2 linked regions of the Daphnia pulex genome follow. Each later gene encodes a partner of the first gene's protein in a complex. Links are inferred from orthologs where the notes say so. Each region holds a gene or a part of one and is shown on either strand. Other genes may lie near its edges. The genes, in order: protein dispatched homolog 1-like and sonic hedgehog protein A-like.

What was found.
Region 2: the proteins of protein dispatched homolog 1-like (region 1) and sonic hedgehog protein A-like are in contact, whole or in part, in a cryo-EM structure (PDB 6TD6), measured with the Drosophila melanogaster proteins. The link is inferred for Daphnia pulex from reciprocal best matches to the Drosophila melanogaster genes disp and hh. Residues at the interface, in NP_524734.2 of Drosophila melanogaster: His77, His78, Arg250, Tyr253, Glu296, Ala404, Gln405, Ser406, Asn407, Arg408, Gly434, Asn755; in NP_001034065.1 of Drosophila melanogaster: Tyr100, Pro101, Val103, Leu104, Lys105, Gln106, Thr107, Asn110, Leu111, Ser117, Glu164, Lys165, Val168, Ala228, Gly229.

What each region holds. Positions count from the first base shown.
Region 1 is NC_060022.1:93,128-107,816, forward strand, and holds the end of protein dispatched homolog 1-like, read left to right. Parts: intron 1-399; coding exon 400-523; intron 524-1,771; coding exon 1,772-1,956; intron 1,957-2,036; coding exon 2,037-2,408; intron 2,409-2,481; coding exon 2,482-3,017; intron 3,018-3,146; coding exon 3,147-3,706; intron 3,707-3,777; coding exon 3,778-4,213; intron 4,214-4,288; coding exon 4,289-4,415; intron 4,416-4,499; coding exon 4,500-4,809; intron 4,810-5,432; coding exon 5,433-6,755; 3' UTR 6,756-6,980; downstream 6,981-14,689. Other genes in the region: putative protein TPRXL, read left to right, coding at 8,397-8,817, 9,082-9,137, 9,591-9,697, 9,780-9,954. UniProt on the Drosophila melanogaster protein: Segment polarity protein which functions in hedgehog (Hh) signaling.
Region 2 is NC_060017.1:3,420,121-3,435,596, reverse strand, and holds the start of sonic hedgehog protein A-like, read left to right. Parts: upstream 1-6,452; 5' UTR 6,453-8,658; coding exon 8,659-9,222; intron 9,223-15,476.

The sequences.
Region 1 (14,689 bases):
CATTTTCCTTTGACAATTTATTGCGTGTGATTGTGCGTGGCCGTACCCAGTCGACTCGAAAGTTGTCGAGGAATTGGAGCGTGAGGAGGTTACACCCCTTCCTGAAACTCGTGCATCCGCCTTGTTTGATGTCTTGTGCACAGTTTTTTCTTCTTTTTTCCTGGAAACGTGAAAGATTGTCAATGAGATTTGCTTGTCACGGGCCACGTCTGTGATTAGTTTACGAGAGAGAAGACGTCAGTGAAGAACGTGCAATCAGTCGATCCTACTGAGCTGGCCTCATGTCTCTGTGTGTGTTCATGTGCCCACTCAAGCCGAGGAAGGTCGACGTTGGCGAAAATCTAATTATCTTGTTCCCCCTCTTGCCCGTCCGCCCGCCTGATGTTTTGGCGCTGTCAGTTACGGACGGATCCTGTCGGCCTATCCAGCAGCCGTGGTCTCGGCCGTCGCCACCCTGTCCGTCTCCTGCCTCATCGTCGTCTTCACTCTCCACTCGCTTCCAGATTTCTCCGATCCGCAATTGGTGAGTGATGCCGTGATCAACAATCACGTCCATTCCTTTATTATTATGGAATTTTTGTTCTCCTTCCGCCTTTTTCTTTTCCCAGCGAAAGTGTCGGAATCCCGACGACTTTGTCTTTCGCCGACCCCGTCCGCCGTTAAGTTTTTGACTACGCCAATGGCGCTCAAGCGTGAACATTCGTTATTATTATTAGGTAGTCGGGACCCATTTTATTCTCTGCGCTGGCCATTTATTAGGAAGAAATTCTCCGTGTAGAATCGATCCATTGGATTTCCCGTTTTTATTTTATTTGTTATTTATTTTTGCACGCCGAAATAAGTTTCTCGAGTAATAAAACCAATTACCCACATCCACCGTTGCCAGCAGCCCAGGCAGCCGCCAGTAGCATCCGCAGCAATCCAATTCGGGATCGGCTGTGCTGTGCTGTGCTGTGCTCGAGTCCATTTCAAGCAAAATTGCGTTTCATTTCTGTCAAGTGACTCAAAACGGCCTTGGGTTACCCCAACGGCGATTGCCATTAGTCGTCGCGTTGGTAGTGCTGGTGCTGGTGTGTGGGGCTGCATTTCAATCCGGCTGATGGTGGGCTGGGCTGGCCCGTTTCTGTGCGCGTGCTATTACGTTCCGACCCGGCAGCAGTTAAAAACTTGCAAGTGTTTCTTCTCATTTCATTTTCCCTCCGTCGCTTGCCATGCCAACAATATGGGTGTCCGTCCGTTCCCATATTCCCCCTCCCCTTTTTTTATTACCGGCTTCTTTTCCTTTTTCCCGCGTGATGTGTGAGGAAAAAAGAAAAAAAAGTCCCGGACTGATTAAAGACTCCCGGGTCCTTTTTTTCTTTTCCTTTTTACTCTCCATGAAGCAGATGGGAATTATCTTTCGAGAATTCCGGATACACACACTCCTTACAATTCTTCTTACTCGGCCTGCTTGCGTCAATGGCATTATTCCGGCATCTCTCGAGGCCAGACGAGATTTGAAATTTCTCGTCCATTTCATCGCAATCGCCTTCAATGCCTAATTTACCGTGTACGGCTTATTTCCACTCTCCGCCCGCTTTGGAAAAATTTCTTGTGTGTGTCAGCTGGATCCTTTCGGGCGACAAAAGTCAAATGCGCAACTCGCCAGTTTCTCCTTTTCCATCCCCCCTTTTACTTTCCGACATGCAAATGGCGTGAATTTTATTTGAATTGTCTGCACTTGTGTTTTTCTCTTTTTTCAATTTCGGCTGACGTGACGGGCAACGCGAAGGGGTTCGAGTGCCGCGGAACTACGTTATCACGTCGGGCCGTCGCCTGGGAAAATCTTTTGCGGGCCAGCCAGCCAGCTGGACCTCTCAGCACCAATCCGCTCGAGTCGACTGTGGCGGCCGGCACTTCCGCCGTGTCGTCGCTCAAGAGCAACGACACGCCCCGTAAGAAGAAGAAGAAGCAAAAGTGAGTCCTTATTTGCATGTAAACATCTATAGTGCACATCTACAAGACATTTGATTGTCATTTTGAATGATTCACATTAGAACGAAATGGCAGCAGTCTGAGCGGATCAACGGCAGCGACTCGACAAGTTCCGTGTCGTCGGCAATGTCGTCGACGTGGGGATCGGTGCGGACGCGGAGCAACAGCCTGGACCAAGACGGCCATCGTGAGAGCAGCAGCAACCAAGCCAAAGCCAATCAAGTCTGGCCGTCGCCGCAGACGAATAAATGGCAGACGAAAGCTGCTACTGCAAGTGGTGCTGCTGGTGGCCAACAAGTCCAGCAGCATCCATTTGAAGTTCTGCGCGGTCTGGAGAGCAGCGGCGGCTCTAAAGACGGGCAGCCGGCCAATCACAGTCATTTCCAGTGGGGCGAATCCGTCACTCGCTCACCGGCTCATCCCATCCGACACAAGTAAAAACAACAGTCCATCACGTTTGCTGGACGTCAAGTGTACCACTACATTTCCTTTTTCCTCTCTATGTAGACCCATGTGGAGCCAGTTGCAACAGCTGGGCACCGCCGGACTGTTGCGATCAGACGAGGACGATCGAGACGACGACGACGACGAAGAAGAAAACGAAAAGGAGACGGACCAGCAGATGACGAAAGTCGGTCATCCGTCTCACAATCGGTTCTATTTCTGCGACCAACCGCACGGTGAATACGCTCACGTCATTTTCGCTGCGGCCGGCCAGGCAACAGCTAATCGATCCCTGTGGAATGTCGAGTCGATTCAATCCATGTGCCGGCTGGACGAGCTGATGAGATCTAGTCCACTCTTCCCGGCCATCTGCCAGCAACCGGCTCATCAGCACCAACCAGCCACCGGCCAGCCACAGCAGCAGCAGTGCTGCCCTTCCTGGACGCTGGGCCACTATGTAGCCTTGATGAGGAATCGCTCCACGTGTGCCGATCTCGACGCCGACGACGTCACGGCGGCTTTCAACATTCTCCAGGCTTGCTCCCGACATTACCACGGGCTCCAGCTCTCGCCCAACTGCGACGCCATTGTCCAGGAAGGTATTAAATACAGTAGTAGTACACGTGTCGTTTATATTAGATGTACATTGTGGCCACCGGCGACGGCCCACCATTGTTTGTGTGTGTTGTTGATCCAAGCTGGGCTTCTTATTTTCTTTGTGGCGATAGGTTATTCCAGTCAGCCGGACACTGCGGTGGCGGGGGATTGCGGCCGAGACGTGCCTGAAATGTGTACTCGCCACAATGCAATTTTTCATATATTCCACTATTTAACGGACGCGGAATTTTTAGTGGACGGCCAGCCGCATTTGCGCTACGCCGCCGTTTTCCTACCGACGGCCCGCAGCACGGCCCTTTTGCCCTTTTTCCATTGGCTCAGCAACTCGGCTGCTGGCCGCGACGGAGTTGGAGTCTGGCCGCTGGCCGACAACTGGACGCAAGTTGTGGCCATGGACTTTGGCTTGAAGGAGGCCCTTTTCAACGAGTACGTCATCCGCGACGTCCTCTACCTCAGCGTCGGCGCCGTCCTGGTCTGCACCTGCATGTGGTGGTACACGGCCTCGCTGTTTCTCACCTTGATGGCCATCGTCTCGGTCGTCCTCTCGCTGGCCGTCGCCTATTTCGTCTACACGTTCGTCTTTGAATTGGATTTCTTCCCCTTTATGAACCTCCTGGCCGCCGTCATTGTCGTCGGCATAGGAGCAGACGACGTCTTTGTCTACGTCCAGGTCTATTTATTTTTAATTTTTATGATTTAAAATGAAATAGTCAATTAAATTGTCTTGTTTTAAATTTAAAGGTCTGGCGCTGCGTCAAGCTGGACAAGGATGGAACCACCCTGGCCAAATTGGTGATGGACACTCTAAGTCACGCCGGACTGTCGATGCTGGTGACGTCACTGACGACGGCGGCAGCTTTCTTCTCTTCTTTCATCTGCCCAGTGACGGCCATCCGGTGTTTCAGCCTTTTTGCCGGACTGACGGTCACGATCCATTTTCTCTTTATGCTCTCATGGCTGCCGGCCTCGGTCCTCTTGGCCGAGAAATACTTTTCCGGGCCCGTTTGTCGCCACCCCGGCACAGCCAACGCCGCCACCGCCACTGCCGACGCCAGTAGACGGCCGGGCGTGCCCGTTTTTGTCCTCCATCCGTTTCGCAGCTGCTGGCGCACCACTAGCGATCTGGGCCGCATCACATTCGACAAGATTCTGCCCTGCATCGTCGTCAAGTTGCGATGTGCGTAATTTATATTGAACTGATTTGTTCCAACTGTAATCAATCCATGATCATTTTGAGTTATTCATTTTGCAGATTTCTGGATTGTCGTTTTGGGCGGATTGGCCGTCGCTGCTGGTGTCGTCGTCTTCCATTACCCGAAATTGGAATTACCAGACACGAAGGAATTTCAATTATTCTCATCCGACCATCCGTTTGAACGGTGAGGCAGAGCCAAACAAAACTTTTGTACCCGTTGGCAAATTTATTCAATTTAATTATTTATCCTAATCCTATTTCTAAACAGATACGATTTGGAATTCAAAAACGAATTTTGGTTCGAGCGCTCGCAACGGGCCGAATTGCTGGCCAAACTGCCGCTGCGCTTCGTGTGGGGCGTAGTCGACGAGGACAATGGCAACTCACTGGACCCGTCGTCCAAAGGTTCGCTGGTTCTCGATCCTTCCTTCAACATGGCCGCTCCCGAGTCGCAGGAGTGGCTCTCGCACTTTTGCAAGGACATCCGCGACCAGCCCTTTTTCCAGCCGACGCTCGGCCCGCTCCTGCCCAACTGCTTCATCGAAACTTTCCAATCTTGGATGGACAGGCGTTGCGAGGTGATTGCTGCTCTGCTGCTGCTCTTTCATTAGCTGATAACAAACCAAAAAAATGGGACTCTGGGATAAGCCCCGCCCCCCCCCCCCCCTTGGCCCTTGACAGCAAGATAAAAACAATTGGAAGGGGGAAATCCAAAATGTCAAAAAAGGAAAAAAGTTTTTTCCCGTTTTCATTTCGGCCCAGCCCAGCCCCTGAACAAAAGAATCCCGTACAAGTCCGTCGGGAAACTTGAGGCCAATCGATAATCATCTCCTCTCTCTCTGCTACTGCTGCCGGGAACAGGGAGAGGAGGGGGTACAGTGTACTTTTGACCCGCGTCAACTTTGAACCACGTAGGCCGGGAGAGTTGCAAAGTCCACAAGAATGAACCCCTCCAACACCCTCAATTCGTGGGCAAGGGGGTTTCTCTTTTATTCTCACAAGTTGCCATGGAAATCCGCACTGGCAATCGGGCAAAAGGCCGAAAAAGTTCCCCCGAACGAACCGTTAATGAAACATTTCTACCATGCCCAGGGAGAGAGGATAACTCTATAGCCACCCCCAAGTTTTATCCGCTAGTCTCCTTGTAATCAAACTGATTAATTCTCACGTCTTATAACTTTTGTCTTTTCTCTTCCGTCAGGATTCGGTGGATGGCAAGAACAGGACGCCGTGCTGCGAAGTCTCGACATTCCCCTACAGCGAGCACGTCTTCAACCAGTGCATCCTCCTGGCCGTCAAGGATCTCTACGAAACGCCGGCCCAATTTTTCCTGCCCGGAGTGGCCGGGCCGAGATTCTCCAAATCGACGCAGCGACTGGACGCCGTCGTCGTCGAATACGACAGTAACGTCACTTTCTCGCTCTCCTACACGGAAATGGACGCTTTCCGTCGCCAAGTTGACGACTGGATGGACGGCCAGCTGGCCTCGGCTCCGCCTGGTATGAAGGGCGGCTGGTTCACCAGCGATTTGGCCTTTTACGACGTCCAGCGCAGCTTATCGGCCGGCACCGTTCACGCCATCGCGCTGGCCATGGCCATCGCCCTGGTCGTTTTGATTGGCGCCACCGGCAACCTGTGGCTGAGTTGCCTGTCGGTCGTTTGTTTGACGAGCGTCGTCCTGGTCTCAGTCGCCGTCCTCGTCCTCCTCGGCTGGAAATTGAACATTCTCGAATCGGTTTCCGTCAGCCTGGCCGTCGGGCTCTCGGTCGATTTCACGCTCCACTACGCCGTCGGCTATCGGCTCAGCGGCCATGAGACGGACAGGGAGTCGGCCGTCGTTTTCTCACTGACGCGGATGAGCAGTCCCATCGCCATGGCGGCCGTCACGACGCTGTCGGCCGGAGCGGCCGTGCTGCCATCTAGCGTCATCGCCTACCAACAGATTGGCACTTTTGTCGTCGTCGTCATGGTGACGTCGTGGATCTACTCGACGCTCTTCCTCCCGTCGCTCCTCAGAGTCTGTGGACCGCAGAACGGATGCTCCCAAATTCCCTCGTCCTCCTGTCTAGGCTCTGGCTGCTGCTGCTGCTGTTGTTGCCCAGCTGGTCCGACCCAGCACGTCGATAAAACCGTTTACAGTTACGGACTGTCCGAGTCGACCCTGTCCACGTCCAGCACCTCCTGTCCTAATCCCAATTCCAACATTTCCACTGTCCATTGCGAGACTCACGAACTGGAACCTCTCACGTCCAGCCATCGTGTCAAAGCCGTTCGCTCGGCTGGCAACAACCGACCACGATCCGGAAGCCTAGTGGCCGCCAACGACCATCACTCCAGCGGGTCTACCACTGCTGCTGCTGCTCCGGCATCCGCCGCCGTCACGTTGATTCAAAACGGGCGGAAGATGAGGAAGATTAGCCTGCCCAGCACGACGGCCCTGCTGGTGGCCGAAGCACATGATCACCACCGCGAGCCCCAAGTCGTTTGCATAGAAACTCTCAACTCGGACATGTGGGCGGCGTGAACTAACGTCGTGAATATTTAATTTCAATATTTATTTCAATGAAACTCCGTGTTGTTTTGTTTGTATTTTTCAATCCAGCGCTTTGATATTATTTGTTATGGTACCAAACTGTTGACGTGTGAAATTGAAAAAGAATCGATGGAAGGGCTGACACTGTTATAAATAGTGCTGCTGCATTCACTCGTGCTGGTGGTGTTGATCTCAAATACACACAAACTCATTTGACTTGTTATTACCCAGTGATTCAGTCGGGTCGGCTCTCTGCTTTTTTAATATGTTTCCCCCCCCTCCACTATTTTTAGGAGCCGACCATTAACGGGGGGGGGGGGGGGGGGGATGATGGTCATTTGATTCCGGAATTTAGGTCGACACGTGCAAAGACTTTGGTACTACAACCAAACCACATTTCCCCCATCCAAAAGGCGTCCGGAATTTTATTTTGTCTTTCATATTTTTTCAGCTGAAAGAGACCTTCGTCCCCCCTCCCCTTTTATTACAGCCCCACACATACGTACGTGTGTGTATATCCTTTGATATTTATCTTTAATGTTTATTGCTCCCGGGGGGAAGGTGCTCTGTGTATTGTGGGGGTGGTGAAGGATCAAGGGCAATCATCTCACCCACATGTTGTGTAATCGGTTGTAAAGTGAATCACAATCATGTGCTATTGTCGCTGCTGCGGTTGGTAAAGACGAGAGAGAACAAACGGGCAGTTTTCACGAGTGAACGGCGTGATCGTTGGCGTGACCACAAGTCCGCGCTCCCGGACTTTTTTGATGAGCCGGCCAAGTGATGGGCGCGTGTGGTCCACAATGCAACAGTTACATTTCCCCTTATTTCAAACGACAAAGAGAGAGAAAAACCTTTGAATATTATTTTAATAAAAACAAACGAGAGAAAAAGATAAAAATAAATGAATTGAAGAAAATGGAAAAGCGGATAGATGAGCGCGTGCGCGGCCGCCAGAGATACAAAACAAGAGAGGCAACAGTGGGAATATCTTTGTGACATTTTTAGGAGCCAATGGGATCGATTGAAATGACACCACGCCTCTGTTCTAGCCCCCCATCTCTGCCCATCTGTGATGACGATCATCGCCTCGAGTGACAACTGCTCGCATTTGACAAGTCGAACAAACTGGCGCTGGCAGCAGCGCACGAGTATCCAAGTCAGGCCAGGCCAGTCTCTCTGCCGACGACAACGTGCCAACAAGTCCCTTTCTCTCTCGTCTCCCAGTCCAGCAACTCCCCTCAGAAAAAGTTCTTGACAACCTCGTTCGTTCCTTTTAAGACTTGATTTCAATTTTGACAGATAGAAATCGAGACGGTTTGATCGTTTATTATATTCTGACGGAAGAAGAAGAAGAAAAAGTTGTTTTTCATTGTCCAAAAAAGACGAGACAATAATTAAATAAGAAAAAAGAAAAAAAAAGGATCTTTAACCGTTTTAAATCTGGCGGCCTCCGTGATCACTAGTTCTGTCGTGTGTTACCGGGCTGCTCTCCACCGGCGCCGGTCGTCGACTGCCTCCATTGCCACCGCCGCAGCGTCGGCTGCCACCGGTGGCTGCATCAGCAACCAGACCGGGCCAGGACCCAGGGACTGGTGCATCCTTTCGTTCAACTACCGTCGTCCCATTATTATGTGTTCGTCATCCGACGTCGTCCCGCCACCACCCACCACCACCAACCGACGCCTCAACCGACGCAGTCCCAGCCCCACCAGCAGCAGCAGCTCATCATCCACAGAGTCCAGGACAATTGGCAGCAGTGGGTTGGCCGTCAAGTCGCCCAGCAACAGTCTCAAGTCGATTGGAGGAGGACTGGACCATAACATTTCATTGTCCAGCAAGAACTCGTTGGAGAGCATCTCTGGCCATCGTCGTCGTGTGGCTGCTGCCACCGCCAACCCCTCACCCGTTCAGAGTCTCGAATCGCTTCAGCAATGCGATGACAACGACAATTTCGTCTCAAACAGCCCAGCACGACACAGCAACAGCAGTTCCAGTTCCAGTTCCAGCTCCAATTCCACCAGCACTCACTTTAAATGTCGCAAAGCCTTGGGTATTTTATTTTATTGTTTAAATGTTAATAACATAAGAATTGATGTCGAAATTATATAATACGCCATGGCCTTCGAATGTCTCATTTCTTTGTCTCTACCTGTCTGGTCTTTTTTCTTTTACTTTACCCTCCCCTTTGAATTTATTTTCTCCCGGGGGCTTCCTTTTATTTCTACCTGAACTTGCCGTGATGTCATATCGGCGTAATCTTTTCCTTTTTTTAAAAAACCAAATTTTATAATTTTTCTATTTTTAATTCATTCAGGAACGCGACAGGGAGAAGTGCAAGCGATTCGGACCAAATATCCATCAAAGATTCCAGTAAGTGATAATAAAAATTTTGATTTCTTATTTTGCTTTTACATTGATATGAGAGAATAAGAAAAAAGCTTCCGGGAAATGATGGATAATATTATTTAGTTGAAAATCCAACGATCGCTTCTGTCTTGTACGTCTGGGCCGTTTCCCGACTGAGTTGGGGCTGACCTCATTCATGAGATTGACACTGTTGTTTTATGTGATCAGAGGGGCGATGTTATATTTTGAAAGGGGGGATTATTATTCTATTATTCATTTCTTCCACGGAAATTTTGGTGTCTCTTCTTTGAAAATTCGATCCATTCAACAACATGGATCATCATAGTCATCGTGTGTTATTGATCTCGGGATGATGATTATTTTCCTATTTTCCGTTTGGCTGGCCCACCTAAGTCTCATCTTTGATTCTCTCAGTTCAACCCAAATGTCTTAACAACTTTTAATTTGTTTCGACAGGTGATTGTCGAGCGTTTCGATCAGGAGCTGTCGCTGCCTCACCTGCAAAAGAGCAAATTCCTCGTGCCGCAGGAGCTGAGCATGTCGCAACTCATCACAGTTGTTCGGTAATTCCATTTGTTTTTGCAACAACTCAATCAAAAAAACTGATTTTATCCTATTTTGTCCTGTTGTTGGTCATCCGCTTAGCAACCGACTGCGACTCTCTTCGACGCAGGCCATTTTCCTGATCGTCAACAACCGGAGCATGGCGTCGCTCTCCAAGACTGTGCACGAAGTCTACCGCGAATATCACGATCCCGATGGATTCCTCTACCTCTCGTATGCGTCACAAGAGGCTTTCGGCTCCGACTCGGTGACGTGACCACAGGTGACTCATCATTTTCTTTCTCTCAGATTAATGAAAAAAAACGACATTAATGACAACTTTGGCTTGGGGAAATGACTCCCACGAGCCATCCAGCCCGGCACCCGTTTTCTGTGTGTCCATATTCTCGAGAAAAACGATTAGCTGTTATTACTATTTGAGCCTGTAGCTACGTAGGACAAGGTCGATTAGGGACTCTGGCTATATCTATATTTATCATTCTTTCTCCTTTCAACAGAAATCGACCAAGAGTTTTGGGACAGTTACTGGTGGTTGCCCAGCAGTATAGCCGAACAAGGGCGGGATGTTGGTTGGGGGGAAACCTTATCGCTCTTCGCCTATTTCGAGAATGGTCTGTCGATTGGCTTGGGAAAACGGTTGAAAGGTCATCGACTGTATGTGCTCTCTGCTGACCAAAATTTTGGGTATACGCATCACTAAATGTGTCTGTGTGTCTGCTGTTGTTTGCTCAATCTATAATGGGCCCAGCAGCACAGCGAAATATGGACGGCCAAATGTCTTGACAACTGCAAACAGACACGTGTCGCATCTTTTTTCGGGGTTTCTCAGTACATAGAGACGACGTCATCATCTTCCACTTATTTCTTTTCGCCCGACCAACAAGATAATGGCAATTACATTTCGCAATCGACTCTGAATATAACTCTCAGCGCGCACATTTTGCCCAGAAAATGCTGTTGACTTTTGATAACATCACTAAGCTAGTCGAAGAAAAGGGGGGCTGCTGGTAGAGAAGACCTGCTGCACCCAAGAGAGAGGGGGGGTCTAGTTTATCAGCGAACAAATCTGTTTGTTCTCCAAATTCAAAAGGCATACCTCTTGTTCCAATTTTTTAAATTCCTTTCTCAGCTTTAATCTTTTCTTTTATGAATTAAAATTTATGAAAGGAACTTGAGTAAACTTTGACAACTGACGTGTTATCTTTAGCAATAATCTTTCAGCTTTTTTATGATTTCTTGTTTTTCTCTTTTATTATTCACAGGCGAATAAATATGGATAGTCGGCGCGCAGTTTTAAATTTTTAATCCTCGACGGAATCAAGTCTCATCGTCCTCCGCATTCGTCACCGATGGATGCTCATTGTAGTAACACTTTTTGTTTGCCAACTGGAATGGAGTGATTATAAAAGGCCCTAAATTGAGACTTTCGTCGCGTATAGTTTTCACCACTTTTGTCTTTCTTCTAGAATCAAATTAATTAGTCTCCCCCCATCATCTGTAACGTGTCTACTCGTATAATTCCGTGTTCTAAATGTGTGTCAAAAGATTCTCTAGCATCTCTGTGATTCATGCGACGCTCTGTTCCGGGTCTGTTTTCCACCGATTACTCCGAGCTCTGAGAAAATTCAATGGAAATCCCGCTCAAGTGTTGCTGGTATAATTATAATGATTCTTTTTCCCCCCTATTAAAATCATCCAGTTGAAAGTCAAATTGAGGTGAGAGAGAATATCATCACCATCATCATCCGATTCATCGCGACTATGTATGGATTTTTTAGTTTTTTCTTTCCCCCCTTAGCGCCGGACTTTCTATGATGACAAAGTATTTTACTATATTACGTGTGTTTCATTTTTCCATGGATTCTCATTTTGTAATAACTGGGTCACCAATTTTTATTTTATTCCTTATTCACTGGTCGGGATTCGTTCAAGACAGACAGTCCTTATATCGTAAGGTTTTTTTTTTCAAATAAAATGTTTTTTATTACTGAATAAATGAATCGGAGATTTTGACTTGTTACATGTGTCCTTCAAACTTCATTCTTCCATTTTTTCCGTATCTTATCAGGAAGAATTCCGGGAACGCGCTGATAGCGCTGAAGGTGTCTGCCAATTAATAAAATATCAGATGTCAATACAAAACCATTTGCGCCTATTTTAAGGAAATTATTGCGATAAAATCCATGAGACAGTGCCGAATAAACGGAAGACAGTGCTCACTCCCTAGCGGAAGAAAACAAAAATTCGGTGATTCCTATGTCAAAATTATATTTCCTACTTTCTAATAAATCAGAGGCATTCGTTTTCAAATTCCGATTTACGTATTTTCTAGAGCAGACTTTTCAAATTCCCGCGTAGAGCGCATTGGCAAGAAATACTACAAGTACATTTGGCAATGTTGAATGTCGTCTGATGTCGTCTGAACTTGGTGACAAATTATTTTGAGTTTTGAGTTGTGAGCTTCTGACCACGTGAAATACTGGAATCGTTTTCCTGATAGCTTTTCAGCCACTATTATTTAATTTGTCTTATCCTTTTGCTGCCAAAACTATTGTTGCTAATTAGACATAACCAGTTAAACACAAAATTTGGCCATTTTACCAAACTTCCTTCGGCCAAGTGATGAAGTGAGAACAGGCCCATTCTTTCACATTTAACACGACATGTCCATGGATATTGGATACTTAGTGTAGTTGTTATGCCCTGTTTTCCACTCATCAAAGTCGTCGTTTGTTTAATGCATCATCCAGTTGATACAGGTAAAAAACAATAATAGCCTAGTCATAAATTCGTAAATACTTCTTAACATATTTAGTTAATATTCATCCAATTATAGGCAGTTTCTATTGAGCTTGGTAGATCACTAACCCCAGTGTCAACATGTATTGTCAACATATTTTTCAACAACTAATACATCGACAGACAAGTATTCTTCTACTTTTGGTTTTAAATTTTTTATTTTGCGTCATAGATTGTATTTTCTGTCATAGGGAAAACTATGGAAAACATCCTTTAGCCCATGGGCAATCTTCAGGTTTATTGCAGCAGCTTTAGAATGCTTTTGGAACTTTTCAGCAACTTTTGTCACGTACAGAAACAATTTTAAAGCAAGTAAGTGAATCGTGAAAGTTGTGGCTTTTCAAACAGTCCATTTTCTAATCTACTTTCATTCATTTTGTAAAAGCGTGTCAAAGAAGTTTCCTTTCTCCAGGTGGTGCTGCCGTGTCATGAAGATGCCTGTTCGAGAGGGTCTCTACTATATTGCAAGACAGAAATTATGTGATGAAAACAGGAAATCTGAAATGGTAATAAACTAATAATGTACTTGTATGATAAATCAAGCATTTTGTTCTTGATGTCGAAGACAAGTGACATCTTATTTTGTGCTTCTAAATAGAACTTTTGTTGAAAGTTCTTGTAAAGAGTTGAAATTTTGTTTGATCAAACAGAACATAAATTCCCTTAATTCTTAAAAACCTGAAATGAAATCTTTGTGATGTGATGATCTTTGGTCATCTTGAGTTCTTTTTCTCTAGTTGGGTGTATATTTAAAGTAAATCATTATTGGCGTCTTTATTTTTCACATTCCAAAATGTTTTTTGGTTTATTAATGTTCTTTTACTTTGTAGGTGTCCATGGGGAATTGCAGTCATTTTCCAGTTAAGAGATGTGCTGAAATGGAAATTGTGCAGACTTGCAGCGTTCAACATCATACTTCAATGTGTCATTTGCTTCTGTTGGCCCATGCAGTATATGCAGTGTTGAACAGTTGGGTAAAATAGTCAATGTCCTGTCGGGCTTATTTTATCGGCTGCGTTTTGTCGTTATGTCGTCTACCCTTGCTACAGGCGTTGAGGTAATGCTTGATGTACAGTCTCGTTCAATTAGTATGACCTTTAGTTAAAATATCCCTTCTCATTTCAGTTCAATCGTTTGCTGCCGTTCCGTTCCATAGACTTGATCCATCGGTGAACTGAGGTTGCTGAAATTCAAGACTCGTCAAGAAATTATGTAGATGTAGATAAAATTACAAGTGCATATTTGGGCTCCCTTCTTTTCTGTGGCCCCGTTTCCCTAACTAACCACTAACCAACGCCCGCCGGTGGTCACTCACCCGCTGTGAAACCAGGAGGAGGGGAGGGCTCTGGTCGAACGGGGACTTGGAAGGCGCATGATTCGATGAAAACTTTTGGAGGGTCATGAGTCTAACCCGGAAACCTAGTATGACTACATCTCCCCAGTAAAACTTGCCTCGTACTTCTCTCTTCTTCTCGGTCCAGATAAATATCTCTGGGGGCCGTAGACATGTCCTATAACAGCATGTGCGAGTTAAACAAAGCAACCCACTGCCCAATGAAACAAAAAGCCATGGTTTATTATTTGCGCAAATCTCCGTCAGTCAAGTTACAAATTTTTCTAATTCAAGAACTCGTGTAGAATTTTGCATCTAGTCTATTAGTGCAAATCGCGATTCCATGTGTTTGGTAGTTAAGAAAATGGTTGTTTAAAAAACAAGTCGGAGTAGCCAAAAAAACTCACCATTGTTTGTTTTTTAAACAACCATCTTCATAACTACCAAACACATAGGATCGCTATTTGCACCAGTAGACTAGATGCAAAATTCTACACGAGTTCTTGAATTAGAAAAACTTGTAACTTGACTGACGCAGATTTCCGCAAAACTAAACCATCGCTTTTTGTCTCATTGCCGCAGCGGTGGTGGCGGGTTGCGTTTAAACTCGTGCAGTAGTAAACCGTCTTGAACCGGACGCTCTGTTTATTGAATTTTTTTGAACATTTTAAAAGAGAAATAAAACTTGGTTCATGCTACATATTTATTTTTTTTATTACAGATATTACAAGGTTAAGGTATAACATTGGTTTATAGGGTTAAGGGTATAAATTTAAGGGTTAGTGGGTTTATGTTTTCGGGGTTGAAAGGATTGGAAGGTATGTGTTTGTGGGGTTTGGAGATTAATTGGTAGGGCAAC
Region 2 (15,476 bases), on another chromosome or scaffold:
CTGCATTATTAGGAGATTAAAAAGTTCCTGTGGGAAGTCTGGCAGTATTAAGAGAATGTCGGTGAATGGGTTTCTCCATCACACCCCCCTTTGATATGTGTATATATAAATAAACGCGTTATACACATTTCATCCAATGTTTATAGACACACTGTTTTAACTGCGTATAATTGTGTACGACTGTGAATATACATTCTATGCAGTTCGGATGATTTTTCGGGGTCAATCCAGTTTTGGGATAAGAATCTCACACGACTTTGTGTACGTGTACTTTTGTCCAGCCAATATAAATGTTCAAAAGTCGAGCGGTCTGTACCTTATAATCTTGGAAAATGATCTGAAGATATGTACAAGAGAAAATCCTGTGAATGCGATCCTTTTTTTATTTTCTCTCGAACTGAATTTAGCTCTGCTCCGGATGAGAAAGTTGTGATGATTTCGCTGTCGATCAACGCCGAGCTCCTGTGGGCCCAGACAGCCCTGTACGGTTTCCATCCAATATAGTTTTCCAGGCTAAATGGAGGGTATAAAAAGAAACAATAAAAGAAAATGAAAAGGGGAAACAAAACAAAAAGTAAAATAGGAGAAAGACGGTCAAAGATGCGGAAAGGATTGACCCTTGGGTATCATTCACCTGATCGGCCTCATTGCTTGAAGATTTCAAGACAAGATCCGACAGGACACACAAAATATTTTCAACCGAAAAAAAAAAGGGATAAAGAAAAAATGGGCCTGGATGATATGTGTGGGATCTATCTGGAAAAAGTCGAAACATTGTCCTTTGATTTTTTTGGGGGGCATAGGGGGGCTGTATGATATAGCGTGTACATAAATGTATATCGACTGCATGTATGTATGTATATACAACCGGACATGAATCAAATACATGCCCCAAGAATGTTGTCCTCTTTAAAAGGAGATTAGTAGCCGAAAAACGCTTTTCTTCATTTCTATATTTCTATTCCCACATCGCTCTATTCCTTTTGAGCTATATCATCGACGACGGCTCTGATATTATACCTGCAACACGGTAAAGGATTGAGAGGAAAATATTTCTTTTTCCTTCCTTCCTTTTTTTGATAATGTATATTCCTTCTAATAGGCGCTGCTGTGGTCTCTCAATACTTTGACATTTTCCCTGTGTGTGTCTCGATGGATTGTGCACACACACACACATTGACAAGCAAGTTTTGACTTGTAGCTAGCGCAGCAGATAACCCGCGACCGGATCAAAAGGCGGTGGAATGTGTCGGAAACGTTTTCTTTTCAAACCGGGCCGTGTCAAAGAGTCATCCCCCCCCCCACCCTTGGCTGTTGTTGTTATATTCAAAGAAAAAAAAAAGAAACATCAAAATTTTTAACCCCCCACAATTTTTTTACCTTAATAAATATACCGGAATCGGATAATAATTACCAGGTCCATTTTATTTATTTTTTTTAGTCCGTTAACCTTTTAAAAATAAAAAAAATTCAACCGATAATCTATTTCACTTTGTTGTGCATATTCGTCGGTATACCCCAGTGGTAAATGTGTGTGTACATGGGTGGGTGGAGGCTATTGAGGAAATTATCATTCAGTGTGCCGGGCCGCGTCGTCCGCACACACACAAGACATAAAAAGGACGACTCATAAATCTCCCCATTTTTTCCCAGTTTCACTGATGGGTGCGCACATTTTCGCTATTGGCTTTTTTCTTTTTTGTTGGGTGTTTGAAAGTCTTTATGTGGTCCGTTTTTTTTTTGTTTTCGACCTTTTCCCCTTAGCTTCTTCTTCCACAAGTCCATTTCGATGTACCGTGTGTAAATTTTTATGATTATTTAGGCAGCCGCGGAGGAGAGAGAGAGAGACAGGAGCGGGGCGGTGAGGACTATCTTCTTTTCTCTCTCTGTTTGTCTCTGTTGGAATGTCTCGGTGTTTTCCCACACACGGACACGATAGAAAAAAAGGAGAACCAGCTCATGACGGCCTCCTTCTGCGACCGAACGACAGGGGGTCGCCCAGCAGCTCGAAAAAAATAAAAAAACGGCCAGCGCGCCTATAGTCATTTCCTCTGACTATACTCTGCTCTCTGTGTGTAGTATGTGTGCCTCCTCTCCATGTCAAAAAGTCTCTTCTTCTTTTCAACTCCAGAATATAATAGAGTGTACACACATAGACATAGGCGGCCAACAACTATGTGGCCCAGATTGATATCGATAAGCGCGTTAACTCGCCAACAACACTGGGTCCTCCTGGATAGATAGATAGGCCATCCAAGTCGATCCTGTCGTCGGCATATAGACAAGCTATACGCGGGAAAAAAATAAAATAAAAGATGGGGGGGTTCTTCTTCCGGTGGTACATAAAGTGTGAAGGGAAAAGGGCCAAGAGCCACCCAACATGTCCAACAATTCAGTCACACACACTGGGATATAGAAAGGAAGAAGAAGAAGAAAAAAGAACTGGAGAGAGAATACGGGGAATCTGTTCCGTTCTGTTTTTATTTGACCGCATCTGCCACGGTCCTGTCGGGATATTTAGGGAGAAGTTGTAGATAGTATAGTGGCCAGTCTCTCCTGTGTAAACAGGCTCCGCTTTTAAACACACACAAGAAAAAGAAAAGCCGCTAGACATTTCACCTCGGGGTGGTCGACGGGAAAAAAAGAAAAAGAAAATTCGACTCGTCCATTTTAACCCCACTTCTAGATTGTGTTGCTCATCGCTGCCCGCTCAATTGTATATATATCTTTTGAGACTTTTCCCGGCCCCCACAGTCTGTGTCTGTGTTACATTGAACGTCTTTTTTGCGGCGAGCGTCTTATACAAAAGATTCCAACGGCAGAAGCGCCAAGTTCAAACGGCAGGAAAAACGTTTCAACGCCCCGTCACCTGCTGCTGCTGCTGTCGTCCGGCCAAGAATTTCATGGGGCGTCGGCGATGTATGCATAACAACTCTCTCGGCGCCTTTGGCGTGAGCTCTGGGGCTTTTCTAGAGCTGGTCCCGATCCTTTTCAACGCGCTGCTGCCGTCGTGTGTGACGAACGAATAAGGCCGAGGGGTTATGGCGCTCTTATCATCGTTCCTCTTCTTCTTCTTCTTCTTCTTGTGTTGTTTAGACTTCGTCCACCCAAAAGAAGAGAAAAAAAGGCGACCGAAAAACAACAGCAACACAAAAAAGAAAGAAAGAAAGAACCGCAACCGGCGGTCGCTGTGTGTGTGTGTGTGTGTGATGGCGGCGCGTGTTTGTGGGTGTTTGTATGTGTTTCTGTAAGTGTTTCGGAAAATCGTTTTCTATTTTCCCTTTTTTACTTCCCTATTTATTTGCGGCACCCGTCTGTGTTTGTGTGTGGGCCAGTCTCAGCGAGTTGGGTGGGGTGTAGACCGCCGGACCTTCGTCGTCGTCGGCTGGGATAGGAGAAAATAGGAGGGTCTTCCAATTGTTTCTCATTTCGCCTACATACAAACACTCTGATGAAATAACACATTTCGGTTCTTCCCGGTATATAAAGAAAGACTGTGTCGAAATCTATACCGAGAAATATATCAAGTCTCCGAGGTCGAAAAGCTGCAAAAACTTCCTTCTTCTTCGTCTTCTTCTTCTTCTTCTCGGCGATTGTTGTTATTTGTTTTGTTTTTAATTTCCGCCAGAGAAAATAAATGAATGGACGGACGCGCTGGATGAAGGATGTTTCAAATCCTGTTTATTACCGCTCTTTGGATGTGGAAATAATCCCGATCCGTTCAGCGGATGTTGACTGTGCGATTATTTAAACCACTTTTTTTCTTTTTTGGCGGTTTGGAATTAAGGTGTCGATTTTATAAATTCTAATCGATATCTTAAGTATTGCCGAATCTTAATTATTAGACGATTAGTGCCGTCTGCTATTCCTTATCGACCGTTTTACTTTACAACACAAGTACTCAAGGGCTCAAGCATTCAAGACAAGTTTGAAAAGGAGACTAATATAGTATAAAAAGATTTCATAGAAAAATGGAACGATCACTTTTTGAGATTTGTACATGGATGCACAAAAAAAATTTACAAAAATCTTGTCATCGTCATGCCAACTTTGGTGTCGCAGCTCGCAGCTTTCCATTCTCCACTCCATGGTGTTTGGCGGGTAAATATATACTCAGCAGCATGGACTCTTTATACCATGCTCAGCAGATTAAAATGGGATGGCTATGGGAGCTTAAATTGAAGAGTTAATCTTATTCCAAGTTTTTGGATTCTTACTTCCTGCTAGCATTATTTATCCCCTTGTCGATGCATGGCAGATTGTTTGCACTATATATTGTAACCTTTTTCTCTGTGCAGATTTGGGGCCTGAGCCAACCATCGTAACAGCAAAGTTTTGCTTGTGGTGGACTACAGCCAGTCATCCACCAGTCATATGATTTGACTTATGACCTCCTGCCATCAGCAACAATCACAGTATCATCGCTTAGGTAATAATTTTCGTTACTTATATCAACCTGCATGTGACCTGCCAGACTTTTAAATGATGCATGACTTGCACAAATGCAGTTTCCATTTCATTTCATGGATACCTTTAATTCTCCTGTTGATTCACAATTAGGGTATACTTCTGGTTTACGACTGTCTCAGTTTCAACTTTTCCTTGCTTGTTATTGTTTCTGTAAATGTTTTTTTTTCGTAACTCATTGTTGAATTTTTTCATTTAGATAAACAGCATCCTCTTTAATTGGATAAACTTCCAGTATCGACCGAGTTAAGGATCTCTTCAATTCCCCTTTCTTTTTTGGTCCTCGTGTACGCCCATGTGAATGTGGGTGTATTCACGAGGACTCCCTTTTGGTGGATTCAACTTCTTGCTTCAACTTCAACTTCTCTGTGGATGGATGGAGCACTTGTGGAGACCTGGCTGTATTTTCCCAGGCTTAAAGGTAGGACAAATTCATTTTCTTCTTTCCTCTCTGACTATTGAGTGGCGTTTATCATAAATCGATGCGGAGTACGATTATTCCTGAGCCAGGCCTTTGACTTAAACTGTTTTCTCTTGTCGTTTTGGTTTTTCTCAGTCGGGGCTATTAAATAGCTCACGCGTAGAACCACTGCAGATTGGGCCTGTTTTTTTATACCTCACAAATAACTTTGTCTGTGGATAAACAATCACATTCAGAGATATTTGAACTTGAAACACTTGAAGCAAAATGAAATTTGAACAATATTTTCCACCAAGAGGGTTTTGCCGCCCAACCGGCACTTCCTGGTAGAAGATTCCAAACGTTTGGAATAATCAAACATTTCTCTTCTCTGCCACTATATGTGTAACGCGTGTGTTCCGTTGTGTGTGTCTGTCTCTGGTTTCTATTTCACTTCTTCTTTCAATTTTCTAATTTTTCTTTTCTTTATATCCTACGGGACGTTAAAGCTAACAAGATTCCAGTCATGTTCTTATCATTCTTTCGCTTTTCTGCTTGAGACCTCCGGCAGAAGCCGAGAGGTTTAATTGAAAAAGCTCCGGCCATTCAAAGAGTATAAGGGGAGATTATCGCGGACCCTCTTTATATTTCCAGGTGTCTTTTGTGTACAGGTGATGTTGGGAGGGGGCTGGATTTCTTGCGAGTCTATTGATCTGTAACAACAACAACAACAGGCCTTCAAAGAAATTCTGTACATGTAGTAGGCTAGAAGATATCGTGCGGAATGATTATTTGCCGCCCAGGACGTCGCCAGACAGACTGGCATCCAATTATGGCGTAACAATCTTTCATCTCGAAAGGGAGAGGGGAGAATTGATTCGCCAATTTTTATTGCGCCAGCAACACAACCAAAAAAAAAAAAAAAAAGTTTCAATGTCAAATAGTTGTGTCGATTGTTTTGTTCCCGCTTCTCTCTCTATTTGAATTCCCCTCCAACCAAAAGAGAAAAAGAAGAAGAGAGAAAGAGACTGGTGGCATTTAAACGTCGGTGCGGGCGGTCAGGTGATGGCGGTTTGCCATCGTTTAACTTTTTTAAAAAGGAATTTCTCCGGGAAAGAGAAAAAAAAGAAAAAAGGCCGAAAGGCCGCGAAAGAGCTATTAAACAAATGGCAGCATCGACCGAAATTCTCGTTCGTTCGTTCGTTCGTGCAACTGTTTTTGGCGTTTTTTTGTTTTTTTCACGTCTGGTTTGTCTTTCACGCAAATGATTGGGGGACACTTATTATTATGTACACCTATTTATACACACATGTGGTATTTTAATACCTAAATGGGCAATCAGGGCGGCAGACGCAACGAGATGTTTCTTCTAATAACCGAAATGATTTGCTTTACAAGAAGGGGGGAAAAAAAATACCAAAAATATCGAAAAAGGCCGGAGAGGAGAGCGCACACGCACGCAACAATTTACGCGCACTCGTAAAGAAATAATTTAAACGCGCACACACACACACACCGAATTCTTTCGCCTTTTTTTTTTCTTTTTTATTTAATGATCATTTATTTTTCCTTAAATTTTTTTTTTGCCCTTTTAACGTTGAGAGGTTTCCACGGAATAAAACAAAAAGAATTTTATTTTAAAAAGAAAGAGGCCCAGGCAAAATTAATTTTTCAGCTTCGTCATTGATTTCCTTTTATTTTTTTTGTTTCTGACGGGATGGAACTCTGAGAGGTGGGCGGTGATAAGAAGAGCGATTCATAAATAATGAAATCTAATTACAGTTTTTTGAAGGTAGTACACTATAGAGCAAAAGGGCAAAATAAAAAAAGAAGGAGAAAAAATGTATAACAACATTTGAAATTGAATGGAGCAGCAGCGCGGGGGGAAAGGAATTTTAGACCCCGCCCCTTTCGTGAAGAGAAGCAACATTAGCACTTGGAAGATGTCGGTTTTTCTTTCCCTCCTGTGTATGTGTGTGTGTGTTTTGATGGGTTTTAGACGCTCTGTGTGTCGGGGGCATATAAATAGAAGAGAGACAAAAGGAAAAGAAGAAAAATAAAAGATTCTTCTTCTTCTTCTTTTTGATGGCGCATTCGGCACCTCTGCAGGGGTTTTTCTTGCCCCTTTTATTTTTATTTTGGCTTCGCTTCTTCTTGTTCCATGTGTTTTTCCTTAGCTTTTTGTTTGCCTATCTCGACTATCTTTTTCGGTGTGTGGCATCGGCTTTTATAGGTGTCCCTGCCTCGGGTAAAGAAAAAGACGGGCGCACCGGTCGGTGGAGGTGTAGTAGTGTGGTGGTCAAGTGGGAGGGATTCTTACATATCTCTCGACTATACACAACCCGAATAAGAAAATCTTTTTTTCTCTCTCTCTCTCTCGATGATACTCACACACACAAGTCTCTTTTATATACACGCACACAAAAGAAGCAGGAGACTTTTGAAATGGACGCTGAGGGCGGAGCTTGGCTCCAGAGTGGGAGGTGTCCTCAAGTCCCGCCTCTTTCTCTCTCCCGTGTACCAACTTGGGTGCTCAGCCGAAGGGGAGACTTGCGCACCCGTGAGCGCACCCCACACACAGAACCCCCCTTCTTTTTTTTTTTTTACCTTAGACACCGAACAAGGTGAAACAAACCGAAAACCAAAAATCTCTTTTCTTCTTCTTCTTCTTCCTTTTCTTATGTATAACCTCCTTCTTCGTCTTCTTCTACTTCTTGGCCGTGTGTCTCTAACTGGGAGGTCGGGTGCTGCTCCTTTTCCCTCCGCCCTGCTGTGTGTGTCTGTACGCCCAGTTGTACTCACCGGTGGGGACTTTGGAGCTCAGTCCGTCAAGACACATTGTTGTGACAACATAGATCCCAACAGCTCGACCAAAGAAGAAGAAAAAGTTCTTGTTCTTTTCAAAATATTATTTAAAAGAAGAAGAAGAAGAAGAAGAAGAAGGCACCTGGAGACCCTCCTCAATTTTTCGTTGTATTCCCTTTTAGTGAATGTTTTCACCTCTAGACCTTTCATACCCCCCCGATTCTCAATGACCCACCTCTCCGATCCGATCCGCTCCTCTGCTCCTCCAGCGTCACCTTATTCCTCCTCCTCCTTCTCCTCCTCCTCCTCCTCTTGGTCGACTGCTACTACCCCGCCTCCGCCGTCTCCTCCAGCTCTGCAGACTCACAGAGTGCTGGTGGTTCGGTGATTTGCTGCCAGTTCCATCACAGATACCTCATCGGCCGGTGTCCAGAGATCGTCTCTCCGCGCTTCCTGTCGGATAACCCACTACTTTTGACCATTTTTTATCCTCCTCTCCACTCTGGTTTTTTTAACTCCCCCAACAACAAATTTTTAGAAAAACCGAATTTTTATTTCTGTCGAAATTTTGGAAAAATTTTTTTCTTATTTTTTTTTCCGTATTTGTCAAAACACAAAAATTTTTTACAAATTAAATTGGCCCTCTGCTGACGGCTGGGCATCGAGAGATGGAATGACACTCTCCCAAGAGCCGATGCCGTTTGTCGATCGTGTCGAAACGTCCGCGTCTAGACACCAACCCAGCGCACGATCAGAGATTTATCGGCCCGCGTCTATTCCTCGCTGTTGCCTCCATTGATTTCCCCAATTCCCCTTTTTACCTCGATCCTCATTGGTGATTTACATATCGACGGTGCCGTCGTCGTTTCATTTCGTTCATCGGGATTCCCAACCAAAAAAAGTGCTACTCCGTTCGGTTCCCAAATATTTTCCGCAGTGTTCAAACAAGCGAATTGAGAAAAAAGTCGAAGTAAAAATTAGAAAAAATGATGGCGTCGTTCGTCGAGTGTTGGTCCAGTGCTGGAAGGCCTACGTGCTCATCAGAGGAGGCCGGTCACGTTCGGACTCGGCGGCGGCGGATAAGCGTCGGCGTCTGCAGCGACTGTGGCGGTGATGGAGTCGAGCGTCCAACCCAATCATCCGCGTCGTCTTGTTCCTCCTCCACCACCACCACCTCCGCCACCACCACCTCATCACGACGCCCTCACAGCAACAGACGTCGCTCGCCCGGCTCGTCATCTTCGTCGGCCGGCTGCTGTTACTGGCTCCTGGTCCTGCTGGTGGTGTTGAGCGCGTTGCTGCCGTCACCGGCCACGGCCTGCGGTCCCGGCCGGGGTGCCAACCGCCGCCGGTCGCCGCGCAAGTTGACGCCGCTCGTCTTCAAGCAGCACGTGCCCAACGTGTCGGAGAACACGCTCGGCGCCAGCGGACTCACCGAGGGCAAAATCACGCGCGACGATCCCAGGTTCCAGCAGCTCGTGCCCAACTACAACACGGACATTGTCTTCAAAGACGAGGAAGGAACGGGAGCCGATCGACTCATGACCCAGGTAAATGTCGCATTTTGGGTGATTCAAATATTCCCGCCCTTCTATTCTAGCTACATATATCGATCGAATTGGAAGCCAATAGGCCTAATCCGTTTTGCGGGTTCAAAACCTTCGGTTGTTTTATTTAAATGGTGTCGCCTACCTGAAACCACACCGTGAGCCGTTGTGGTGGTGGTGGTAGACCGAGACGGCCGAAACACAAGTAAAAAAGAAAACACACACGCGATTATATAGTTATAAGTTTTTCCCTTCCTCTCGTCGGTTTTTTATGACTGTAGGCTATATGTATAGGCTTTTGTAGACGACGACGACGAAAAAATAAAGAAAAAAGAACCAGCGGCCGGAACTGTTATGGCGGTATCCGATGGCTCCAAATAAGCCTCTTATGGGTTTTACTTTACACGGCAACCAACCAACTAAAGGAGGGGGTGGGGGGGAATAAGGTTTTTCGTTACTCCTTTGACTTGTTATAATTTTTACCCCCAAAATATTTTTTGTTTTGAAAGTTTGTCTTTTGTTATTTTGACACTGTGCGAAAAAAAAAAAAAACCCACACACACACACACACACACACAAACAGTCAGGGAGATCCGTGAATTTTCTTCATAAAAAAAGAGAAAATTTCTTCATTTCACACGGCTGGAAATCCAATTATACAGTGGCACAAACATTGGCGGAGACCCCGTCCATGTAGGAGTGACATGTGAGATGAAAAGAGAGAGAGAGAGAAATCAGGTGTGTGTATACCTTTTTAACCATCGCCAAAGATATGCCCGTCCTAATTAAAAGCCTTTTCTTTCTTTCTCCTTTCTCTATACACATACATATATATACTCATATTTTTATATTGGTATGAATATGTACTACTCTTGTATTGATGTGTACGCACTACCTGAGAGGACAGATTGCCCCCATAGAGTTTAGCACCGGTCTCGACTTCTTCTTCTTCTTGAAGGGGAGGCCCAGAGATTTCTCCTTTTCCCATGGCCACGGTTTAAAATAGAGACAGGTGACAATTGGTTTTCTGACTCGAGAAGATCATTCACGATCCCCAGACATAAAAATCCAAATTCCCCCCCAAAAAAAGAATAAGGAAAAAGAAAACAGTTGAGGAAGAAGCCACCCAATTCGACCGCCGATAGTTTTTCCCACCCGAATAAATAAAAAAGAGGTTTAATTGCGATAAATGAGAGTCGAGAGATGTATAGTCTTATGATATCTATAGGCGACAATCATAGCCAATAAATAATAGAGATGGGAAAAGGCTATTGGGGCTGTGTGTGTGTGTGTGTGCCAGGGCGCGGTGTTCATTCTTGTCTTTTTGGGAACTTGATGTGACTTTTGAAAATACCTCGCTGAAAAGCTTTTGATTCTCCTGTCATTGTCGTCGTCTTCTTAAGAGGCCCCTGATGGAATTCCCCCCCACCACCAACCGCTCTCCGCCCCATTCGAAAATGATATGGTGAGACACGGAAAACAAAAAGCTAGATGGCTACTCTCTCTCTCTCTCTTTAGCTCTCTTTGCCCGGCTGGCTGCTTGGGGGGCTATTGGCTATTGACAGTAACACGTCGGCGTGACTGTCACCCAAGTGTCAAATGGACCTCTCAGCTTTTTGGGCAAGAAGGGTGGGGTGGGGGGATTCACCTAAATAACAAATCAAATAAGAAATAATCAAGAAATCTTTGACAGACATTCGAAAATTTCCCTTTTGTTTTCTCTTTCTCTAAATCCTGGCGCGCCCAATTCAAAACAGATCAATTCTCAAAAGTGTTGCATCAAATGATTCAATCACTTTCTCTCGATATTTAAGTTATGAGAAGAATGCGCCACGATTTCTTTTCAACTTAAAAAAAAATGTTTTATAAGACATTTTTTTGGGTTGTGTACATGTACGTATTCATCGCGTCGTTCTCCATGTCTTCTGTTGTTATTTGAACCCCCCCGCGCAACGGAGAGAGAGAGAGCTGGGGCAGTCGCGGGTGGGTTGCCCTTTTTCCTGCCCGGTCCGATCGAGAGATTCGGTTTCACCGCAAAGTCGGAAATGTTACGGCACCAACAAGAAAGAGAAGCTCTCCATTTTCTTAACGGGAGGGAAGAAAAAAGAAAACATTATTTTTGACTTTGATTTCAAAAACCAAAGAATTCTTTGCCCGGAGAAATGGACTTGGGCGTGTGACGTGTCCTCGTATAACTTTTGGCCGGGCACGAGGAAACGTTACACCGAAAGTTGTTTCTTGTCGTCGTCGTCGTCTTTTCCACGGCGTCTGAGAAACCCTCCCGTTTGGACTACCGGCGTGCGCTGGGTCCGCAAGTCGGCGACAATTTCCGCTTTCATTTCATTTCCTCCTTTTTTGATTTTTGTCGGATGGGAACCGAATCCCGCGTGGGCGTGGTCGAAACTCGGTCGGAGATTTATATGTAGGACACGCATCACCTACATGAGATTGGCGGCTCAGGAAGTTAGTGAGTCCGTGTCAAGACCCACCAATAAAAAACAAGAAAGACAAAAATGGCGACTTTTTCATCATTGGTGGGGGGGCCAGAAATTCAGAGTTGATTTCGGACATTTTATTGAGGCCAAAAAAAGAAGAGTTAACTTGTTTGAGCAGAATTAGGTAGAACTGTCATGTGGGGAAAATAAAAGGTAGGTAGTTTCTTCTTCTACTACTACTCTAGCCACTAAATGTACATACATATACGACTGGGATATGTGCTGTATACCTACAGGGTGGGGTTATACCTATAGACACACACAGAGATACTCTTCCTTTTTGGCGTTCCCATGCCATATCCTGGGACTTGTTCTTCTTTTTTTTCTGACTTGTTCTTCTTCCCACAAGATGCGGGACAGAGATGGACACACACACACACACAAGTGTGTAGTGTGTGTGTGTGTGGATGATGCTGGCCCATTTTTACCTGTCGTCTCGTTGTCTTTCACAGCAGAATTTCGCTGCCTCCTCTGCGCCCTGTTTTTTTTTCTCTTTCTTTTTCTTTTTTTAAAATTTTATTATTCCTCATCACTTCGAGGTCCGTTGAGGGGAAAGAAGAAGAAGAAGCGGGTGCACAACAAATTCCCACGGCCGTGTGTTGCCGTAGCTTTTTCGTTAACTTTTTTCTTCGACGGTAGTGGGGAGAGAGGAGTGAGAAGAAAAAGAAAAGAAACATATTGTCATAGACCGACGACACGGTCATGACACGGTTCAGAGTTAGACGAACTGGTGGCATTTATATGGCGCTATAGGATCCGGCATTCCTCTAGAGTGTGTGTGTGCGTGTGTTTTTTGGGGGGGCTTGACATTTTTGAATTTTTGCGCGCTCAATTTGGTTCGAAGGCCAAAAAGAAGTCGCCTTTTTTTCTCACAGACACTTTTTGAGAGAGATACCATTAGATAGATAGTCGCCACCCAAACGTGCCACTACTATATACCGCCATTACACAGTCTCGTTTCTTTTTTTCCAGCTGTAACTTCTTCCTGTCCTTATGGCACTATAGCGCAATAGCTTTATAGTGACTCCTTCTAGTGTACATTCATTTTGATTCGGTTGTTCAAGATCGACTATACCATATCTATCCAGTAGGATATCGATCAGAGGGTATACAAGAATTCTCCTCGGTGAACCCCGGTGAATAAGAATTCTTCTACCTCCTTCTGGTATTTTTTTGTTTTTATTTTCTGGTCATTCAAAAAAAACCTTTCGGGGTAGTGGTGTAGTAGCTGTATGTATGTATATAGTGGCGCAGGGACAACTTTTGTTTATGGCCGTTGTTATTCAGTCACGGTGAGAGAGAAAGAAGAATCTTAAGGGTGATGGAACCAAAGTTTGACAGGACGTTTTAGCTTATAGTGAATGTGTCTCTGTGTGTACATACATTGGAGGGGGGGATATTGTACACGGTATGATGCACATATATCTACACTCTCTCTCGACTGTTATTGTCTCGGGCCAAAGTTCGCATGGAAACTCTAGACGAAAAAGAAAAAGATGCGCGCGCAACATTTCGAAAAAGGGCAGCAGCTCCTCCTTTTTAATTCTTTCAGACGTTTTTTTTCTTTCGGGGGTGAGTTGTTGTTTCTCTTTCAGTTTTTAATGGCCAGCCTCCAGCAGAGAGCAGTTCTTTTTATGCCGTCGTGCGCGTTAGAATAGTTTAAACAGAAGAAAAGAAAGAAAAAACAGCAGACTACTAGACATTTTGGTTTCATTTGCATTTAAAATTCCCGGTATTTTTTCTTTCTCTTTCCTAGTTGAACGCCAATTGCGAAATAGTATCCTTATAGTATAATCTCTATATGGTCTGGTTCAGAAATATTTCTCCTGTTTGCGGTGTTGTCGTTTGAAACAAACTCTAGTCGCCACCTCGGGAAAAACCGCAAACTTTTATACAGACAAGAGCGACGACACTATGTTGTTTGTTTCCTTTTTTCTTCACATGGAATTCAGACGGACCTCTCGGGCTTGATGGAACTCTGACGCTCCATCAACCGAGTGTCTTGTCTTCTTTGTAAAAAAACAAAAAATCAAAAGAACTTTTATTTTAAAAAAGAGTTTCTTTCGAAACAGGTGAAGGTATTTAGGCCGATGGAAAGGGTCGCACAATCGCGCAACAAGATAAAACTCGACACAAATGGAAAACGAAAAAATTTTTTAAGTTTAAGAGTTCATCGATCACCAGAAAGAAGTTGCGCACGGCAAAGATAAAAGAGAAAAAAAAATAAAATAAAAGGCGACGAGGAAAATAAATTTGAGAAAGAATAACGTTGACGTCATCGACTCCTCAAATGTCAAGCTCTTCTTTCTCGGTTTTGTTCGTTTTTTTTTCTTCAATTTTAACATCCATAACTCTAACATAACAAAACGTTATGGCGCATAGTAGCCGGCCATATATATATTGTCCGTCTGCGCATATTATACCGACTACCTACAAATGACCCAAACTTCCCTTATAGCTGCTTCTTCTTCTTTTTCTCCCCCCTTTTTTTTCTCTTCCTTGGCCGTGTTGTGTCCTCCGCGTGTCATAAACACCCGGTCCCGAGAGGACCTTGCCTCAATCCGTAAAGGTGTATATCAGAGTGGTAACAGTAGCAGTTGTTGTTGTTGCCGTACAACACTACCCAAAAGTGAATGAAATGAGGGACCAGCGAAACCCCTGGCCGATCGATTCCGGAAGCTAGTATTATATATATACTGCTGTGTCCATCATATAGTTTATAGGCTCTCCTCTCTGGGTACGAGGTATGGTACAAGGTATCTAGGTACTACAACAACATAAACACGGTAGAGCCGGATGGATCTTGAAATTTGACCCGAGTACTATATAGAGAAAAAGAAGAAGAATCAGGTGTTTTCTGGGTTTTCTTTTGGCTGGTTAGATACGCGCAGGTTAGATTTTTATTTTTTATTTTCTTGCCCTTTTTTCTTTTATTATTTTTGTGTCGCAGTAGACGAGCTGGTCGGGTGTTAGACGCGGTAGTGGCCCGTGTCAGTTCCACTTGAAATCATAGGCCCTCATCAAGAGTCGATCAAACTCGAAACCAATTTCCAGGGGCAATTGAAACTTTTTTCGGACGTCGTAAAAGAAAATCAAATTCCAACCGATTCGGAATATAAACTTGGAAGAATTTAAATGATACACACGTAGAGTCTTCTTCTTCTGTTGTTGTTGTTGTTATCCAGCCAACAACAAGAGACGGAGAAATTCCAAATCGGTCGATTTCAGCACACACAGCAGACACAAGTGAAGGATAAAGAGTCGAATTATATTCCAAACGATAGCCCTTCGCTGGCTGCTGCTTAGATTTTTTTGGGGGGTTTGACTTGCGAGGGCCGTACTATCAGCACTGCTCCAAACTGAATGCGTTCGTGTGTATACGGACCTTGTGGCATGTACTTTGACCTCCAAAAAAAGAGAAAATTCAAATCGAATCAAAAGGAGAATCAGGAAAGAAGAAGGAGAGACTCTTCTGATGCGATAGAAAGCAGAGAGACCCCACGGGTTGCCCAGCACCCGCATTCCTACACGTCCGTTTTTTTTTACAAAGCCAAAAGAAGAAGACAAAACAAAACTTAACAAATCCAATAAGTTCAAACAAACACACAGAAAACACTCAGCCAAACTTCATCATAGATCGGCCGTTCAATTTAGAAAAAAAAAAACAATTTTGGCCAAAAATATTTTTTGTTTTTTGTCTTTTTTTCGTGATGATATGTTGGCCGGCGGTCCGTTCCGCGCACCCGGGACAGTCGATTAGCA